Arabidopsis thaliana: one gene and its partner. The protein of the gene in region 1 purifies or fractionates together with the protein of each later gene. This does not show direct contact. Each region holds a gene or a part of one and is shown on either strand. Other genes may lie near its edges.

Region 1 (4,282 bases):
TCCGGTCCGGTGATGGTATTGGGAAGTAGATCCAGAAAGAAAAGAAGAAAAAACATTGATAAAAGTCATGGATTTGATACGTTAAAGCTGACTAATAAATATAATAGACCCCTCAAATTCATTAAATTCACACAATGAATGTCTCTTTTGACTTGTGTATAATCAAAAGTTTGATAGGATACACGTGATTTGTTTTTCCTACTGATCGAAACATTACACACATCAAGTAGCTCTAATATTGTATCAAACCAAGTTGTATTAGAGAATTGGTTTATGTTGGTTTGAAATCCAACCCAAGAGTTCAGGTTTTTTGTTTTGTTTTTAAGTGATGGAAATGGAATAAAAGAAAACAGAGGAAGCAGGAAAGAGGGGAGCAAGCGAATATGCATGGAAAGAGTCAAAGTGGGTAAGCTCTCTCATACCTAACATTCCATTTTCGCATCACCATTCCCAGCTAAACCAGCCTATTTTATGCACACATACATACTATCTCACACTTGTCGATTTCTGATTCGTTCGGTATGAGCCCATCAAAATCAACATTACTACTTCAATATCAAAGGAATTAGATAGATACACAAAGTGATACAAGTGTGTTCAGGTATTGCTGCTTATCCACTATCCATGAACACCTTTTGAAAGAAGCAAAGTTTTCACTTTCACCTGAAATCTAACTGATAAACGATTCAGAAGTGCATTTGTCTGATCACAATTCATAAGTGCATTTGTTACAAAAGCATATCAACTTTGCGTTCCATTCAAACAAAACAGAGATTGTATTAGTTCGTCTACACATAAACATTAACATGAAACAAAAGACCGATAATAGACAAGAAAAGTTTTTAAAAAAAATGGAGGCAGAGGAGTCTACTTGAAGAGTTGATCCAATGATATGTAAAACTCTTAACGCTTGGAGAATTGTGGGGCTTTACGCGCCTTCTTGAGCCCGGCCTTCTTTCTTTCAACCACTCTCGCATCTCTAGTGAGCAAACCTTCCTTCTTCAAAGGCGATCTGTGGTCTGCACTTACCTTCAGGAGTGCACGTGCGACTCCCAAGGTAATTGCTTGAGCTTGACCTGAGAGACCGCCTCCATGGGCTTTCACAAATATGTCGTAGCTATTCTCATATCCTAAAGTCACCAATGGTACTTTAACATACTGAAGCCACAATGGATTTCCCTGAAGGTACTCCTGAAAAAGGTTTACAATGATCATCATCAGCAATATACGTATGGATTCAAATCTTTCCCATTCACAACAAAACAGCTTGTCAAAACCCCCCAAACTTTTATCATAATCTCTCCTTGTTAACACTTTCTCAGCCACTTATCCTAAGTCTAAACAGCCTAGAATTTATCATATGAACTATTTGTTCAGAAATTTCTTCCAGTTTCACCTTAATCTATAACGTGCTGATGCAGCTCCCAGGTCACAAAGAACTACATACAGATAACGTCTGATCACAAGACTAATACCGATACAGTTTGATCACTTTCTCAGCCACTTATCCTAGTCTAAAGTCTAAATAGCCTAGAATTCATCATATAAACTATTTGTTCAGAGAGTTCTTCCAGTTTCAACTTAATCTGTAACGCGCTGATATAACTCATCTATCAAAAAGAAGTACATAAAGATACAGTTTGATCACAAGACTAGTATACCCTACATAACAGAGAATATCTTCATAAAGGTCAAGACTTTCTCTCCTACAAACTGCTACAATTTATACTACTAAATGCTTCAATCGATTACACACTATGCATGATGTCAGTCTCTTGCAGGTATCAGATATTCATATAAACCAAGAATATGTTCAAACGGGGGTAAGTGGACTGCTTTCATAGCTTTAGCTGTTAAAATACCAATTTCAAGTTCAAATCTTAATCTCATATGAGTAGTCAATTCTCAGCTGTATAAACTCCAAATTCAAGGCCTAAGCAAACACATCAAGCGACTAAGCAACAGTGTAAAAGCCAATAAGATAATGAAATTAGAAATAAATTTACCTTGGCATCACGATAGTTGATGATAACCTTCCCAGTACCTTCCTGAAGAACAACTCTAGCGATTGCGCACTTACGTCGTCCAGTGCCAATAATCTTCTGAGCAGCAAATCCTCCGGGAAGCCTCGATTTGACGTATTTCTTCAGTTCAACTATCTCCTCCTCCTCCGGTGGAGCAGATACCGTGGCGGTGATAGATAGAGAAGCGCGGCGTGCGGATTTCGCCGGTAATGCGAATACTGAATTCGCGCGGGGGAAGGAAATGGTGTTAGGTCTTTGAGAAACTTGGGAGGAGAACGAGAGTGAAGAGAGAGAAGAGGCGAGGTTCGTAATCGACGCCATTGTCGCTGAACGAAGAAGATAACGTCGAGCAAAGTGAAGCTGAGCTCAGGAGTTTCGTTGAACAGGTAAAAAGGAAGAAGATAACGAGCAGAGTGAAGATGAGATTAGGCACGGTCCCTCTCGCTTCATGAGCTTTCCAACTTATTGAATCGGCCCATTAGAGCCCATTAAAAACCTTCATTGGGCTTAACAAGGAGCTTGAAAACACAAATACTCTGTGTAGATTCGTTACATATGTTAACAAAAACAAAATGGTCAAAACAAAAATTTACATCACATCATTGTCATTTAGTTAATTTCCATGTTCTTTTGCCATCTACTCCAAATTACACGATTAAATGTGAAGCTTTAAATTCATCTGTGCGATAATCATATATTAAGGATCATATACTATAATCAGCATTCATGTTGATCAATCTGCAGATGTAGCACGAGAACAAGCTTATGACGATTTTTCACAAAGCGGAAGATTGGAGAATCAAATATTACAAGCAGATGCAAATTTTTTATAAGAATGTAAAAGTAGCTCTAAACATTAATTGTCAAAATAACAAAAATCGTAGACAATGTATAATAATAGTTTCAAAAACATTGTCAAAAAAACAGACTCAGATTCATCAAAAGATACTTTCCATTACAACAAGAAATTTGAAAACCGTAAACCAGTTGGCATGGCAGCAAAACTTGAATGCCCACCAAAGAAACTAGACCCATGATGTCTTTGTTCAAGACGAGGTCGAGCTGTTTCAGTCCTAGTCGCAGCTGGTCGATTAGGGACAGTAACACCACTATTGAGTTTCGATCTCGGATCAGAAGATGGCTTACCCATTCCATACAAAGGAACCAAAGTATCTTCCTTAACCAAAGCTTTACAAACAGGACAATGATTTGATTTAGAATGGTAATGGAGCCACTTGTAGAGACAAGGCCAACAGAACAAATGACCACATAGAGTCACGATCGGTTCTCTTGCCAATTCAAGACAGATATTGCATCCAAAGTTGTTTGATGCATCATCTTCTTCGTTCGTGATGGTGTTAATAGCCATTGTAAGATCTTTTTTCCTGCACACATGCAATGAAATTAACGAATGAGATGAAAAACTCTAAAACCCTTAAACGCGGTTTCATATAGAATTGATCAAACATGCAGAGAAATACAAAAATTTCACGTAGATTTGATTCAAAGTTTCGATTTTTACGAGAAGGGACAGCGTCTGAAAGATTTACCTCGGCGATGAGATAGAGGTTTCTGATGTACGATCGCAGAGATTAGAAGAGTCGGTGAAAGAAACTAGGAATACTGTTGTTTATATACTAACGGATTAACAAAACAAAAAAAAAAGGAAAAAAGTTGTTATTCTTCTTATGGCTGACCAAGCTTCCTTCATGTAATTATCAGATGATTTTTAAAGATTTAATAACATAATTTAAATAAAATTAGTTTATTTCCTTGGTTTCAATTCAAATTAAATGTCAGTTTTGACTTTTGACTAATAGTTTTGTTTACCAAAAATAATTATCGTTTTATGATTCTATACCTTTAAATTAAGTGAACGAATTACAGAATTTTAGTACTCGATCAAAAACAATACTAATACATATTGAACATTGCATTAAATTTTGTTTTATCCCTACCAAAATAAATAAATTAGTTTCATTGTTACTTGAAAAATGCCCAACCTAACGTTAAAACACGTAGTAGTGATTATTGTTTACAACATTTGTCCAATTATTAAAGTCAAACAATCCATAAACTGTTTACGCTAAAACTTGTGATTTTGACGGTTGCGGGATTCTAGATGATCATTGGTCACCTTGTACCCAAAGAAATCCTATTATATTATTTTGGAAAGTACATTTGAAATGTAACCTTAATTTTTGTAATTAATTACATGACAATGATATTAGAAAAATTTAATCAAAAACAAAATCTTT
Region 2 (3,927 bases), on another chromosome or scaffold:
AAGGCGTTAATTTCAGCTATTGATGGGAGTCTGGAGTCAGTTGAGATGAATGATACTGATGCACAGGAAGCTGCCATTGATGCACTTGGTCAGATGGGATCAAGTAAGTGGGTCACTTTTCTTTGAAACTTTGTTTGTTGCAGTCGTCTTCTAAAAGAGATAGCTAGAGAGGCCATACATTTAGAATTATGAATTATAAGAGCATCCGACAAGATATTCGTTTCCCATGCAATGATCTTGTAACTTATATGGATATTTTTACAATAATCTTAGCAACGAAGGGAGCGGATCTTGTCCTTTCAACTTCACCTCCAGCTGCAAGACATGTTGTAGCTTCTGCCTTTGATCGTAATGCACATGGAAAACAGTTGGTTAGTGTGTTTTTGCTTCTCATCAATTGAAATTCTGCCGATTATATGCTCTTACTACATTTTTGAAGATCCAATTTTTCCAGTTTTAGGATTTCTAATTCTAACTATTGAGGGTTGAAATTTTGCTTCATTAGTAGAGACATTCATGAAATTATATGATTGTTTCGTAAATGGCATGTGCAGGCTGCACTGCATGCACTGGCAAACATCGCAGGTGAAACACGACCTAAGAGCAACAGAATAGTTGATGGAAAAGCTGAAGAAAGCCTTAGATGTTTGATATACGACGCTGCAGCACAGAGCACAAAACTAACCCCATCCGTAAGTTCGTTTCCTCTTTTACTTATTCTTCTCTCAGAAGTGTGCAGATTACATATTTTTGTTTGATCCGTAGCATGAGCTAATTTAAGCATGTCGCACAAATTGCAGGGTTTATTCCTCTCAGTTCTTCAACAAAGCTCAGAGATTCGTCTTGCGGTAAACCTTTAACTCAGCATCTGATCTATCATATCTTCTCCCCCTTTGTTTCTCTAGTTGGAAATTTCAAAATGACACACTACATTTCATTCAAAATTAAGAAATCTCTTTTGTCCTTCTACACAAAACTCGGATACATGTCACTCATTTGATCTCACATAAGACCTTCACGCATTGCCTAGAGGTAACTATGTTTTTTGCTTATAGTATATTGTTTACAATGTTGTTTGCAGGGTTATCGAACGTTAACAGCATTAGTGGCTCGGCCATGGTGCCTGGTGGAAATCTTGGCCAAAGAAGAGATAATAAACATAGTTACGGATGCAACCACTGAAACTGCAAAAATAGGTAAACCAAGTAACATTCCTCGCATCACCCACACTCCAGCCATTGTATTGGCTTCTTCCTCCCTCAACCTCTTTGATCTACGAGTCTAAATCTCATTTTTTTTTTACTCAGCAATGGAAGCAAGGTATAACTGCTGCAAAGCAATTCACGAAGCGTTCTTGTGTAGTAACTTTGTTGATGACCCTCGTCGTCTAAAAACCGGTGACAAGGTTCCATACTTTTCCTCTGCGCTCTTTAAGATGGAAGTTTCGAAAAGGCTTTTCTTTGATGTTGTACTTTTACTTGCTGATGACATGTTTGACATTTGTTGCAGTTGCAAGAAGCTGTTCGAAGTGGACCATATATGTCGAAGAAGCACAGAGGCGCACGACCAGAAGTAATGACAGGCGAAGGATTTTAAAGACAACTAAAGAAAAAAAGTTAAAACTTCTTTGTTAACCAAAGTTTTTTATATCTTCTCTGGCTGTTCGATAAGTAAACTTTAGTTCTTTCTATAAACAACGAAGGCTAGGAGTAAACGTTTTGGCGGTTGAAATTTGTGTTCTTTAATTTTTAGTGTTGAACTTAATCAAAGAAAAAAAGGAATAACGAGTTTGGTCCGTTTCTCATCGTTTGCCATTAGCCCACGCGGGAGATCCAAAACACTGGGCTAAACTGGAGTTAAGACGATAAACCAAGGGTAATATAGTAATTGCGTTTCCAGACATCATCTCTTCCTTTATGGATAACACTGGTTCGAAATGGAGCCATTACTCTTTACTAACAGAGGGAGAAAGAGCAGAGAAGAGAGAAGAGGAAGCTTGTAGAAATCGATGGCGACGATAGTGCAGTGTCTTTCTTCCTGTGCGACCCTCGAATCCCAATTCAAAGTCCTTTCGCTTAAGGGAATCTCTTGTTCGTCACCATCTTCTTCCTTCTCCAATCGTCGTGGTGCTTCGGCTACCTTATCCTCTTCCCTTAGCTTCTCTCAGAGCGTTTCTCAATGCGTCGCCTTCTCAACCGGTAAACCCTACTTCAGAATCGTGAATTTCATCCTGGTCATGGAGAATTATTGAAATGTTATCGGCATTTTGAATCCATTCGTTTTCTTATGCTTTCGCTAGTGTCAAAATTTTAGGGGTTTTGGAACTGAAATATACATGTTTGGACAGGGAATTTGTGGGTACAGAAGCCAATGAGGCAATTGATTGTGTGTGAGGCTGCTGCTCCTACCAAGAAAGCTGATTCAGCTGCAAAGAGAGCTCGCCAAGCTGAGAAGAGGCGTGTTTACAACAAATCTAAGAAATCTGAAGCCCGTACCCGGATGAAGAAGGTAATGTTGTAAACTTCATACTTTCTGTGAAAATATGTTGGAGTGCTTTTGAAAATTTGAGCTTCTGTTTGAAGATAGGATACAAGATTGTTGATAAGCTTGTAATGCTGTTCCTCTGAAGTCTTAGTGATAAGTTAGGTGGAAATATATCAGGGAATGTTTCTCCTTGTGAATTCTTGTAGCAACCTATGAACAACACTGAACATTGGAATCCAAGTAGGTGGATTAGTTATCATTGTTTGCAACCGATTTATCGAAAAATGGAACTCAAGTGGAAGCTGTTGAGACGGTTTCATGTTGTTATTAGAACTTGGGAGAACTTTAAAAGTCTTGATAGTTTAGAACATCTCATTATCCTCGACAACTAAGACTTATAAATGTTGTAAGTAACTTTTTTACATACATGCAAGATGAGAGTAAAATTCATTTGAGTAAACAGGTCTTGGAAGCACTTGAGGGGCTCAAGAAGAAAACTGATGCGCAAGCTGATGAGATTGTGACGGTGGAGAAACTGATAGGAGAGGCTTATTCTGCAATTGACAAAGCAGTGAAGGTTAAAGCACTACACAAGAACACTGGTGCCCGTAGGAAGTCTCGATTGGCTAGGAGGAAAAAAGCCGTTGAAATTCACCATGGTTGGTACGTCCCAGACGCAGCTGCTGCAGCACCATCAGAAGCTGTGCCCATGGCTGCATAAGAACATGGGGATAACGGAAATTTGTTTTTGTTACTAGATCTTTCAAAATCAAAATCTGTTTCTTTATAATGTACATTTAGTCGCTTTCAGACTCTTCGCTTGTTAAGTTCGATCTAAGCATTTTGTCTTCTACTCTTGGCTTGGTCTTGTTCTGGTTCAGTAACATCTCAGTTCTTGGCTCTGGTACCATTCCTTTTGACATCATCTCTTGAAAGTAACTCAATGCTTCTCCAATTTTCCCCTTTGTGTGCAGACCATGAATCCTAATAGTATATGTTCTCTGATCTGGTCCTAATCCACTTCTCTCCATCTCACTCCATATCTCTCTCACTTTCTCTTCCTTGTCCCATTGCACATATAACCTAAACATCAAATTGTACAAATCGCTTGTCATTTCACACTTGTTCTTTGCCATCCTTTCCAAAACTATGTCAACATCCTTCGATCTCTGCGAATACTTGAGCAAGTAACTGAATGTCACATCGTTAGGCGAACAACTACCACCTTTAAGTTCCATCTCTTCCACTAGCTCCCAAACTTTCTCAGTTCTCCTTATCTTGCAGAGATGCTTCAAAAGTGAGTTATACGTCACAACATTCGGGTCGGGACCTTTCTCACTAATCTCCCTGAATACTTCAAGAGCCTCAGGGATTCTCTTCTTGAAACACAAAGCATCAATAACGTTATTGCAGATTTTAACATCCGGGTTTCTTCTGGTGTCC

The links. The genes of interacting proteins can lie anywhere in the genome.
Region 2: the proteins of RPS9 (region 1) and PRPS20 fractionate together in Arabidopsis thaliana (co-fractionation; one large-scale study listed by BioGRID). This does not show direct contact.

What each region holds. Positions count from the first base shown.
Region 1 is NC_003070.9:28,156,858-28,161,139, forward strand, and holds RPS9 (ribosomal protein S9), read right to left. Parts: upstream 2,461-4,282; 5' UTR 2,346-2,460; coding exon 2,007-2,345; intron 1,192-2,006; coding exon 904-1,191; 3' UTR 529-903; downstream 1-528. Other genes in the region: AT1G74990 (RING/U-box superfamily protein), read right to left, coding at 2,980-3,393. UniProt on the Arabidopsis thaliana protein: Binds directly to 16S ribosomal RNA.
Region 2 is NC_003074.8:5,114,208-5,118,134, forward strand, and holds PRPS20 (chloroplast 30S ribosomal protein S20), read left to right. Parts: upstream 1-1,813; 5' UTR 1,814-2,008; coding exon 2,009-2,198; intron 2,199-2,347; coding exon 2,348-2,508; exon of another isoform or gene 2,509-2,947; coding exon 2,948-3,205; 3' UTR 3,206-3,281; downstream 3,282-3,927. Other genes in the region: AT3G15180 (ARM repeat superfamily protein), read left to right, coding at 1-103, 274-371, 555-692, 801-848, 1,082-1,196, 1,308-1,405, 1,510-1,596; AT3G15200 (Tetratricopeptide repeat (TPR)-like superfamily protein), read right to left, coding at 3,282-3,927.